3 linked regions of the Sus scrofa genome follow. The protein of the gene in region 2 purifies or fractionates together with the protein of the main gene of each other region. This does not show direct contact. Links are inferred from orthologs where the notes say so. Each region holds a gene or a part of one and is shown on either strand. Other genes may lie near its edges. The genes, in order: PLK1, SPAG9 and RCCD1.

Region 1 (3,645 bases), on a different chromosome or scaffold from region 2:
CTATGCACTTACTGTGGGCCAGCATTCTAACCACTTCAGGTATATCAACTCATTTAGTCCCCACAGAAGCGCCAAAGGTGCAAAGAAAGATCTCTGTAACTCCCCCCTTGTGCAGATGAGGAAACCGAGGCACAGAGGGGTGAAGTGCCTTAGAATACACCCCTAGTAAGCGATGGAGCCAGCACCCACACCGAGGCACAGGCAGCTCCAGCACCCACGCTCGGAACCACTCTGTGCTCTGTTCAATGACTGACCCTTGGTGACAGATTCAGTCCGTCTGTCCTTATGGAGATAGGGCTCTTGGCTTCACACACAAGGCAAAGATACCAAACAGGAAAGCGGCGGTGTGCCTGGCTGCTGCAGCCTGTCCCTCTCAATGTGCTCAAGCTGGTGGCTGCAAAAGCACCCCACTCTGCACGCATAGCGGTTCGTGACTCTGTGAGCACTTATTGACACGAGGTGCTCTGGGCTAGGGGCTCATTGTGTTCGGGCTGCTAAGTGGCAGAGACCATCTGAATCAAGATGGCCCACTTCCAAGGCTTAAGCAGCGCTTCTCTGTCTGCCTCCTACTCCCTCCTCTCTCTCTCTTTTTTTTTTAGGGCCGCACCTACAGCATATGGAGGTTCCCAGGCTAGGGGTGGAATTGGAGCTGTAGCTGCCGGCCTACACCATGGCCACAGCAATGCGGGATCCAAGCAGAGTCTGCTGCCTACACCACAGCTCATGGCAACTCAGGATCCTTAACCCACTGATCGAGGCCAGGTGTCGAACCTGCGTCCTCATGGACGCTAGTCAGATTCATTTCTTTTCTTTTTTTTTTTTGTCTTTTTGCTATTTCTTGGGCCGCTCCTGCGGCATATGGAGGTTCCCAGGCTAGGGGTCCAATCGGAGCTGTAGCCACCGGCCTACGCCAGAGCCACAGCAACGCAGGATCCGAGCAGCGTCTGCAACCTACACCACAGCTCACGGCAACGCCGGATCGTTAACCCACTGAGCAAGGGCAGGGACCGAACCCGCAACCTCATGGTTCCTAGTCGGATTCGTTAACCACTGCGCCACGACGGGAACTCCCAGATTCATTTCTACTGAGCCACGACAGGAACTCCTCACTCTCTTTTTATTTTACATATCTTTTGGGTTATCTGCCCAACCTTTGAGAACCTACAAATGCTCTCCCCAACCCCCCAAAATGCTTTTGTGCACAAATGTCAGATTCTGGATACAATTTCAGATAAGGACCCCCAAAACTCTTGTGGGAATCCTAAGGGTGGGACTGACCTACCTCTGTCCTCAGGATATGCGGGGTTCAGTAAATAGCTTGGGATGGAGGGGGGAGGTAAGACTTAAAATAAATGTAAACTTAAAAGCGTTTTCAGGAGTTCCTGTTGTGGCGCAGTGGTTAACGAATCTTGACTAGGAACCATGAGGTTGCGGGTTCGGTCCCTGCCCTTGCTCAGTGGGTTAACGATCCGGCGTTGCCGTGAGCTGTGGTGTAGGTTGCAGACGCGGCTCGGATCCCGCGTTGCTGTGGCTCTGGCGTAGGCCGGTGGCTACAGCTCCGATTCGACCCCTAGCCTGGGAACCTCCATATGCCGTGGGAGCAGCCCAAGAAATAGCAACAACAACAACAACAACAACAATAAAAAAAGACAAAAAACCCCCAAAAAACAAACAAACAAAAAAAAAAGCGTTTTCAGTCACCTTGGGAATACTGTACTCATTCTTCTTGATCCGGAGGTAGGTCTCTTTAAGGCAAGAGGTCTCAAAGGGTGGCTTGCCCACTAACAAGGTATACCTGTAAGCACAAGGAGGGATTTGGCTCAAGGCGCCCACCCAAAACCCAGATGCAGGAGGAATCATCTTGGGGCCAGAAAGTCAGACATCCTCTGGACACTCACTAGGACCCTGGGGCCCCAGAGGGCAGCCCGAAAGTCCACGGGCATGGGGGGTGTGGGGAGTCAGTAGAATAGAGGTGATGAGACTGGGTTCTCATGGGTGGGTGACTTTCTGGCTCGAGCCTGCAGTAATCTAGGGCCCCAGAGGCCGCCAGCCAACACACAACAGGTCAAAGCAGGTGGGCCAGCTGCTCCTACAGAGGCAGCTCCACAGTTAATACTTCTCATACTCAAGGCTACAAGCTTTCATTTGAAAAACTCCCACTGCAAAGAAGTAGGAAAGCCATCGCTGCAACTCATTTCTAACTCTCCAGGACCCAGAGCAGCATCGAAAGGGCTACCACCTGAACAGGCCCTACTCTGCCCTCCACTCACCCACCTCTGACGGCCCTGACCCAGACAGGTGGCAAGCCCTCCTGCCGCCAGCTGTAACTCCTGGCCTCATTCCTCGCACCCAATGCTTCTTTCTAGATGGGAGGTTTTAATACTTTACTGTGCAAGGAAATCACTCAAGGGTCTTAAAAGCCTGGGTCCTGAGATTCTGTGTTTCTAACAAGTTCCTAGATGCTGCTGCTGGCTGGTCTGCCAGACTCTGAATGGCAAGTGACTGAAGTGAGTTTGTGGCGACCTTCCCTCCTCCATTCCCTGGACCTGCAGCCCAGGCTACAGGAATCAGGAAACATCAGGGAGAAAAAAAAGATACAGAAACGAGGCTTCCTTGGTGGCAGTGTGTCCTGTGGAGCAGCCTTTCCACAGGCAGAAAGGTCTACAGGATTAAGGTCTGCTGGGGGAGATGTCGAGGGTGGGTCCTGAAGACAAGTCCCAACTTACATGATGCACCCAATAGACCACACGTCCACCTCGAAACTGTGTCCTTTCTTGCTCAGCACCTCAGGAGCTATGTAATTAGGAGTCCCGCACAGGGTCTTCTTCCGTTCCCCGTCATACTCGACTTTGGTTGCCAGTCCAAAATCCCCTGGGACAGAGAGAGGAAGAGGGGGACCTCAGACTTTAGCCTCTGCCATCTGTCACTGCTGACGGCTGGTTCAGGTGTAACCTTCAAGAACCAAGGTCAGAGCTCCCGTTGTGGGGCAGCGGAAACAAATCCGACTAGTAACCGTGACGTTGTGGGTTCGATCCCTGGCCTCACGCAGTGGGTTAAGGGTCCGGCGTCGCCGTGAAGTGTGGTGTAGGTTGCAGATGTGGCTTAGCTCCCCGCCTTGCTGTGGCTGTGGTGTAGGCTGGCAGCTGTAGCTTTGATTAGACCTCTAGCCTGGGAACCTCCATGTGCCACGGGTGTGGCCCTAAAAAAACAAACAAAAAGTACCAGGGTTGTTAGTTCCCTCAAGCCTCTCATCAAGGCTTCCCCAGGAATCCTCCCACCATGCTGGCCGGGGGGCAGGGGGACACCCTCCCAGAGACCTCACCCCTCCCCTCAGAAAGGAGGTCTTCCTTTCAAAGGGAATTGATAGGGAGAGCAAAACTCAAGTGCCTTCCAGGATTAAGCAAATAAACATGAAGACTGCTACTTGGCAAGTTTGTGATGAAGTAATAGGGAGGGGTGGGGACTGTGGCAAACCGGACGTCTAAAGAACACGCTGCTTTTCAGTCTAGCAAAGAGCTGCCCTGAGGGAAGGCTGTCCCTGGACAGCTGAAGCTCCCAATTTTTTAAAAAGAGCTTTGAATCTAGATTTTTACATCAATTTCAAAAAAAAAAAGTGCAAACGAATTCGGGATGCTGGTTTGTGGC
Region 2 (4,288 bases):
TCTATTCTCAGGTCATGAACCTTTACCCAAAGGTTTCATTATAAAGGATTTATAGATGTATTTGAAAAAGCATAAATTATAAATAAAGTCTTTGGGTAATCTATTTTTATTCTTTTTTAAGCCATGCCCATGGCATGTGGCAGTTCCTGGGCCAGGGATGGAATACATGCCAGAGTAGTGACCATAGCTGCTACAGTGACACCACCAGATCCTTAATCTGCTGCACCACAAGGAACTCCAGGATAATCTTCTTTTTAAGTCATTTACTTAATTTTTTCTTTTTTTTTATTACTCAATGAATTTATTACATTTATAGTCGTACAATGATCATCACAATCCAGTTTTATAGGATTTCCATCCCACAACCCCATAAGTTATTTACTTAAGAAATTAATATATAGTCCACAGTCTAGCAGCTCAGTCAGTTTATCCTCTGATTCCGCAACCTGTAGCAAATGGTTTTCCTGGCACGTGTGACCCTGGCATTTTGCCCATGTTTACATGAACTGACAGGAGTTTAAAGCTGAAGGGATGGAATTCCCATCGTGGTGCAGCAGAAACAAATCCGACTAGGAACCATGAGGTTTCGAGTTCAATCCCTGGCTTCTCTCAGTAGGTCAAGTATCTGGTGTTGCTGTGAGCTGTGGTGTAGGTCACAGGCACGGCTCAGATCTGGCGTTGCTGTGGCTGTGGCTTAGGCCGGCAGCTACAGCTCTGATTAGACCCCTAGCCTTAGAACCTCCATATGCTGCGGGTACAACCCTAAAAAAGACAAAAGAAAAAAAAAAAAAAAAAAAGGCTGAAGGAATCCATTTCTTTTATCTGTGGTCACAGGTCATGCTGGGCCTGCTCCTCACCTGTGTGTTTATTTGGTTAATTCCACTGTCTTTCCATGTACATCCACACACTGGCAAGGGCCTGTCTGAGCATGAAGATATAGCATGTCGTTTCATGAGGAGTATATGAACTCTGCCATAAACAGTGCTAATAAATTACTGGAAATTGTGATTCTATCCTTAGATTGTTTTTCAACACCTTCTTCCCTATATACTTGGAAATGCTCCTGAAATAAAGCAAATTTTCCTTGGCAAATTCAATGGCAATCCTGTGAGACAAATGGATCACAAAATCAGAACTAAAAATCATCATACAAACCTAAGAAAAAAGAAAAAAACTAGCTGACCTGGTACGAAGGCGTATGTGACAAAAAGTCTACATGGTTGTACTATTTAGTGTTAGGAAATTAGCTACTAAACAGATCTCACATCCTTAAAGTTTTTCAAATATTTCTGAAAATATTTTGTTGTCTTTCATTTCTTCAAGTCATTCTCTCAATAATTATTTAGCTTCCTTCAATTACCATGTATTTAGCCAGTTGTGCTAGATGCTCAGGAAACAAGGATGATTAACTTCATCTGCATTAACTACTAAGTTCCAGAGAAATAACGCCAACACAGCCTGAAAACTAAAATGCTTAAACTGTCTCAAGATGTCAAAGACATCTTGGTACGAAGATGTCTTCGTACCACTGGCAGTCCAGAAATCCAAAAGGTTCACAAGATGAGGGCACCGGGGTCACACCGCTGAGGCGCAAAAGTTAGAAGGCAGCCAAGTGCACCTGTAAACTGCAGTCTATGAAAAGGGTTGCCAGATGTCATCTACACCTCCAACCCGCCTCCCACCGCGCTCCCATCCTCTTTATCAGTTTTTAAAGGGAACTGTCCAAGGTTACCACCTGACAGGAAGGAATACTTTGATGTGGGCTACCAATAAAATAAAAATGCACACTCTCTATATTTAGAGTATTGCTATACAACATCTAAGTGTTGACAAAGTGTCAACCATGGTACATAAAACAAAACAAAAAAAACCCCTCCTTCTCAACAGGGTTAAAACGTCAATAAGAAACTGACCGAAAGAGGGAGATCTCTAACTTCCCAAAACAGCAACCCCCAGGAAAGGTACTGGAATCAGCGGAAGTTACTGAGGACAGAAGTGTTTAAATGCCCCCCTTCCCCAGCCCACGGTAAAAGTTTGAATCGCCGTCTATCTCACACGGTGGTCGGAAACTTCCCTAAACAACAGGCAAGCGGACACCCTAAACTCCTCTCTCAGCCAACCCGAGGTGCCCTCAAGCCAGGCTCTGGCTTCCTCCCCCATCTCACCCTCTTCTGGACACTCACTAGCCTGCCTCAGGGTCCAAACCCGGCCGGTGGTTCCGCGACCTCACGGCCTCCGGGCTCAGTCAGGTGGGCCTCGGCCTCAGGCCCGCCCCCAGGAGACCTGCGCGGCGCTCCTCTCCTCCCGGGACAGACCCGTGACCCCGGCCCGCCCTCAGGCCCAGCCCTCGCCCTCCCCGCCGGCCGGCCCTCACCTCCTCAGCGTGCTTGCGCAGCGCCTTCTCTCGCTCGTACTGGGTGATAAGCTGCTCGTTGTCGTCCCGCAGCAGCTCCAGCTCCACCTGGTGCTCCTGATCCTGCGCGAACACCGAGTCCAGGTTCTCCAGCACGGCCACCACCAGTGGCATCAGCTCCTTGACCACCTCCTCGTCGTAGCGCCCGATGAGCCTCTCGAACTCGCGGTAGATGGAGCCGGCCAGGCCGGACACCCTCTCAGACATCACGGCCCCGGAACCACCGGGCTCCTCCTGGTACACCACACCGTCCTCCAGCTCCATGGTTGCGGGCGGGCGGCCTGCCTGCCCGGGGCGTCACCGGCTGAAGGAGCGACTCGGGCCCGTACGGGACGGGCCGCTGGAGCTAGGGCTGGGGCTGGGCCCGGCGGGGTGGGGGCCGGGGCCGTAGGAGGGGAGGGGTGAGGCGAGCGCACTCAGCCCAACCGCCGCTGCACCAACTGCCGGGGCGGCCGGGCCGCGCGCGCCACACGTCACTCGTGGGGCGGTACCCGCGCCGCGTCGGCCTGTAGGGCGGGGCCCCGCGGGAGGCCGGGCGAGGCCGGGGGCGGGGCCGAATGCGTCACTATGCGCCGGCGGAGGCGGCGTGGCGTCAACACTCGGCGCCGCGCGACGTTGGTACGCCAATGGGAAAGTCTGCGAGAGAGGATGGCGAGAACTGCTGCCCCGGGCGGGGTTTGCTGGGCGAATCCCAGAGGAAAGGGAGGGGTTCTGGAAGAGTGACTAGCAGTCCAGAATTAGCATAGCTAACATTTTATTACTTTTTGCAGCTCATAGAGGGTTTTCTCGTTTGTTCTTCACAGCAGGCTTAGTGCTGTAGAAGTTTGGCCTTCGTTTCACAGACAAGGAAAGTAGGCCCTGAAAAGTTAGGGTTCACTCAAGGTCACACAGCTAGAACGGGAAGGAGGATAATCTGGGATTCAAACCAATTATGTCTGAGAAGTCCCGACCTAGAGAAGTGGAAAACAGAGAGAGAGAGAGAGAGAGAAAGCAACCTTAAATGAGACGAGGTCTGCCTCAGTGATAAGGTGGTCTTGAGTAGGATAGAATTATTTGGGGAAAAGTAGATTAAGGAAAAACTTAAACATAAGACATGCGCGGCATCCTGGAGATGAATAAAACTGGAACACCACATCTTGCACTTTCCCGTACACAATTTTCTCTGCCTCTCCTGGCCAGCTTGGGAGCATGGCATTTCCTGGCTCCAGCCACCCGCCTTTCCTCTAATCTTGAGGAAGTGGGGTGGGGCGGGCTAATAGGGGGTTGGGGAGTGGAAGAGGAAAGAGGTGGAGTCACTGAAGTGAGTAAGTCCTGTTATACTTGAGGTTTCCACCACCTGGTAAAGAATCACGTGTGGGGAATGACACAACACCCAAACCCCTGGAGGGCTGAGTTAAGGATCACTTCCCAGTGCTTCTTTTAGCCTCCGCAAATGTAGAAGACACTCTTAAAACCCCTTATCTCCAGGGGAGGTCACTCAGAAGTTCTCTGGCCTCTACTCTAAGAATAGGGTAGGGCTGGCAGAACTTGGATAAAGAATGGTTTAGCGCTGGAGTCAGCTACCTCTCGGGATCATAAATACCCTCAACTTGGTATTTAAAGTTCAAGTTCTCCCCATCAAGCACAAACTAGTTCTCCAAAGTTTCCCAAATTTAGACCCACTTGGAGACTCACAAAAGCAGTAAGGAGGTTAGCTAAGCTATAAACTCAAAATGACAAAAATGAAGATACTAAGCCTGGAGTTCCGACGTGTTGAGGCAGAATACTAACTCAAGTAGTCAGCATAGGCGCATGAGCTTTGATGCATTCTTTGATATGGCTATTGATTAACATTTGTGGTTTAAGGACTCCAGAGCAACATCCTCACAGGCCAAG
Region 3 (3,645 bases), on a different chromosome or scaffold from region 2:
GATATTAAATATAGTTCCCTATGCTATACAGTAGAACCCTGTGTCCTCATTCTATACATAACAGTTTATATCTGCGAATCCCAAACTCCCAGTGCATCCTTACTCCCCCAGCCCCCTGCCCCCTGGCTACCACAAGTCTGTTGGTGAGGGTCAGTTCTTTTTTTTTAGTTTTTAAAGTTTATTTTAAATGATTTTTATTTTTTCTCAGTACAGCTGGTTTACAGTGTTCTGTCAGTTTTCTACTGCACAGCAAGATGACCCAGTCACACATAAATATATATATTCTTTTTTCTCCCATTATCATGCTCCATCATAAGTGACTAGATATAGTTCCCAGTGCTACACAGCAGGATCTCATTGCTTATCCATTCCAGAGGCAATATTTTGCATCTGTTAACCCCAAATTCCCAGTCCATCCCACTCCCTCCCCTCCCCCTTGGCAACCACAGAGTGTCAGTTCTTTTTTTTTTTTTTTTTTTTTTTTTTTGGCTTTTTTGGGCCACATCTGCAGCATATGGATGTTCCCAGGCTAGGGGTTGAATCAGAGCTGCAGCTGCCAGCCTACGCCACAGCAACCCAGGATCCAAGCTGCATCTTCAACCTATATCACAGCTCACGGCAGTGCCAGATCCCTGACCCACTGAGCGAGGCCAGGAATCAAATCCACATCCTCATGAATATTAGTTGGATGCATTTCTGCTGCGCCACAGTGGGAACTCCGAGGGTCACACATGTACCTGTCATTCCTGACTCCTGGCTATTTTCTGGCCTGAGAACTACACAGTGCTTGGAAGGGGTGTGTCACATCCTCAGGACCCCAGGACACACTGAAGGTCTCTGAGCCCCTTATGAGAGGGATCATGGCAAGGCTAATGCCAGTGCCAGTGCTACATGCTCCACAAACCTGTCAACTCCAGCGCTTCCTGGGAAATGTGGGGTCGGGAGCGATGGCCTTCAAGCCAGAGTATGTGCTTCAGCTGTTGTACAGAGTTGGTGTATGAATGAGGTTTAGATTGGTGCTCAGTGAGTGTTCACCATCGTTATCCTCATCACTCTTACTGCTTCTCTGAAGCCCCAGGACTGAACGAAGATGGTTCTGAAGCAAAGAGAGCCACAGAGGGTGAGGATGGAGGCCCCACCCCCTTCATAGCTGTCCAGCCCTTCCCGGCCCTGCTGGATCTCCCCCTCGGCTCAGATGCGGTCAAGGCCAGCTGTGGATCCCGGCACACAGCGGTGGTGACAAGTGAGTGGGGCTGGGTAGGCTGGTTCAGGATGGTCCAGAGGTCCCTTCACCCCAACTCTCTGACTAGTAGCTGCAGAAAAGGGTGGCGATTGCCTAAAAAATGACCATTTTTTTTTCTGCCACATTCATAGCATGTGGAAGTTCCTGGCCAGGGATCACACCTTCACCACAATTGTGACCTGTGCCTCACCTACGACAATGCAGATGCTTAACCCACAGCACCACATGGGAACGTCCTAAAAACTACCATTTTAGGTGTCTTTGGCATGTACTGAGTAGCTACCTCACTGACTACACCCCCATGTGGCTCTAACAGTGGCTCCCCAGCCCATCAGTCCTCGAAGGTTCTTCTTTCTGGAGGGAGGCTCGTGTTTGCCTATCTTTCTTCTGACAGTAGGGCCTGCCCCGCCCTGCCCTGCTTCTAAGGCTCCTGAACGTCGTAGCTGTGAGTTGCAGGCCAATCAGCCAACTAGGAACCATGAGGTGTAGAGCAAGGAGAAGCTTTTCAGTCTGGATCCTCTGCCACATCAAATGCAACTAGATAGCTGTCAAAAAGAGAGAGGAGGAGTTCCCGTCGTAGTGCCAAGGTAACAATCCCTATTAGTATCCATGAGGACTCAGGTTCCATCTCTGGCCTCACTCAGTGGAATAAGAATGAGGTACTGCCTTGAGCTGTGGTGTAGGTCGCGGATGCAGCTTGGATCCTGCGTTGCTGTGTCTGTGGTGTAGGCCGGCAGCTGTAGCTCTGATTTGACCCCTCGCCTGGGAACCTCCATGTGCCTCAGGTGGAGCCCTTAAAAAACCAAAAAAAAAAAAAGAAAAACCAAAAAAGAGAGAGAGGACGTGTTGTGCTATGCAAAGCGAATCTCATGACAACTGTAAAGTGCTGGCTGTGGGTTGTGGCAGGCTGGGCAGGACAAATGCGTTATTGAAGAGCAGGGGCAATGGCCTCTTACTGTCCTTTTGGTTACAGGAACGGGCGAGCTCTACACCTGGGGCTGGGGTAAGTAAAGGACTTGCTTTTGTGATGCTTCAACCAAGGGGAGAAAAGACCCGGGAGCAGAGGGCAGGTGACAAGAGCCATGCAGACCAGTGGAAGCATATGCCCTCGGCCTGACAAACCACTGGGAAGACAGGGACTGAAAAGCTGCCTGTTCCCTTCTCTGGAAGGGATCTAGGCACACTCAGAAGGGTACAGACCAGACAAGAGAGAAATAGGAGATATCATTACTTTCCACTTACCTTTCTGAAAAAGTATTATTTCTTAAGGGAATGTTTCTCCAGCATTGAGGAGACCTCTTTTGGTCTGGCACTGGGTAGAGCAAAAGATCACATGAAAAGCTCTGCTCGGAGCATCTGAGCTTTGGGCTGGGGAGCCCGGAGGAGCATTGCCTCTTGGGGACCTGGGAGATTGCCTGGTCCTGGGGCTCTGTGTTTCTGGTCTCCTGAATTCACAGGGCAGACACTAGCAGCGTGGTGGCTTAAGCCCCACACTTCAGTGGATAGTCTGGTTTTCCTTCCTGGGGCCGAAGGCCATGGCCCTGTGGAGAGGATAGCAAAGGGGTTCATTTCCCTTTAGGTAAATATGGACAGCTTGGCCACAAGGACACGACCAGCTTGGATCGGCCCTGCCGTGTGGAGTACTTTGTAGATAAGCAACTCCAAGTCAGGACTGTGAGCTGTGGGCCCTGGAACACCTACGTGTTCGCTGTGGAGAAAGAGAAGAGCCGACATATGTAAATAAGGGCATGAAATCAATGGACAGTAAAGAAGAAGAAAGCTAACACCTGTGAAACTCCTGCCCAGGTCAAGGAAAACCAGGGCCTGCTCTCCAGAGGCCTTGTCTTTGCCCCTCCCTCCCCATCACAGCCCTCTTGCTCCAACTTAGAGCAGTGTCCTCGACTTGGTCCTCAAATTAGAAGCCCCTGGAGATTTGGCAATGGATGCCTAAGGCCAGCATTGCAGACACGGGTGAAATCAGAATTAGACACAGGCAGATGTGAAAGCTGCCCCACCTGACCCCACCCTGGGGGGATTTCTAGGTAGTGCCAAGATGGGGAACTGAGACCAGCTCAGCAGAATGGGGCTGAAGAATGGGTGCTGTGAAACCTAAGGAAAAAAGTTAACATAAAACAAGACACAGAGACATTTTCTTAAGCAAAGGTGGGAACCGGCAGACTCAAGGTCTCAGGGGCCAAGAGCAGCACTGCCTCAAGAAACCACACTGCTTTTATTGTGCTCTTTTATTGTGCTCCTCAAGTGTGGAGGGGGCTATGGGTGGAGGATATAGGGTTTGTTTATTATTATTTTTTGATATAGGGTTTGTTTATTATTGTGTAAGTTCTTTTATTATTTTAAAAGTCACTTAGCTGGTAAAAGGTTAAGCTTTTAATCTGACCTTT

What was found.
Region 1: the proteins of SPAG9 (region 2) and PLK1 purify together in Homo sapiens (affinity purification with mass spectrometry; 7 studies listed by BioGRID and IntAct, counting the BioPlex papers as one, with this or other methods). This does not show direct contact. The link is inferred for Sus scrofa from reciprocal best matches to the Homo sapiens genes SPAG9 and PLK1.
Region 3: the proteins of SPAG9 (region 2) and RCCD1 purify together in Homo sapiens (affinity purification with mass spectrometry; 3 studies listed by BioGRID and IntAct, counting the BioPlex papers as one, with this or other methods). This does not show direct contact. The link is inferred for Sus scrofa from reciprocal best matches to the Homo sapiens genes SPAG9 and RCCD1.

The regions. Positions count from the first base shown.
Region 1 is NC_010445.4:22,544,334-22,547,978, forward strand, and holds part of PLK1 (serine/threonine-protein kinase PLK1), read right to left. Parts: intron 2,872-3,645; coding exon 2,727-2,871; intron 1,796-2,726; coding exon 1,702-1,795; intron 1-1,701. UniProt on the Homo sapiens protein: Serine/threonine-protein kinase that performs several important functions throughout M phase of the cell cycle, including the regulation of centrosome maturation and spindle assembly, the removal of cohesins from chromosome arms, the inactivation of anaphase-promoting complex/cyclosome (APC/C) inhibitors, and the regulation of mitotic exit and cytokinesis.
Region 2 is NC_010454.4:27,367,391-27,371,678, forward strand, and holds the start of SPAG9 (C-Jun-amino-terminal kinase-interacting protein 4), read right to left. Parts: upstream 2,875-4,288; 5' UTR 2,678-2,874; coding exon 2,375-2,677; intron 1-2,374. UniProt on the Homo sapiens protein: The JNK-interacting protein (JIP) group of scaffold proteins selectively mediates JNK signaling by aggregating specific components of the MAPK cascade to form a functional JNK signaling module.
Region 3 is NC_010449.5:53,553,519-53,557,163, forward strand, and holds part of RCCD1 (RCC1 domain-containing protein 1), read left to right. Parts: intron 1-1,072; coding exon 1,073-1,243; exon of another isoform or gene 1,244-1,830; intron 1,831-2,216; coding exon 2,217-2,246; intron 2,247-2,822; coding exon 2,823-2,983; 3' UTR 2,984-3,645. UniProt on the Homo sapiens protein: Plays a role in transcriptional repression of satellite repeats, possibly by regulating H3K36 methylation levels in centromeric regions together with KDM8.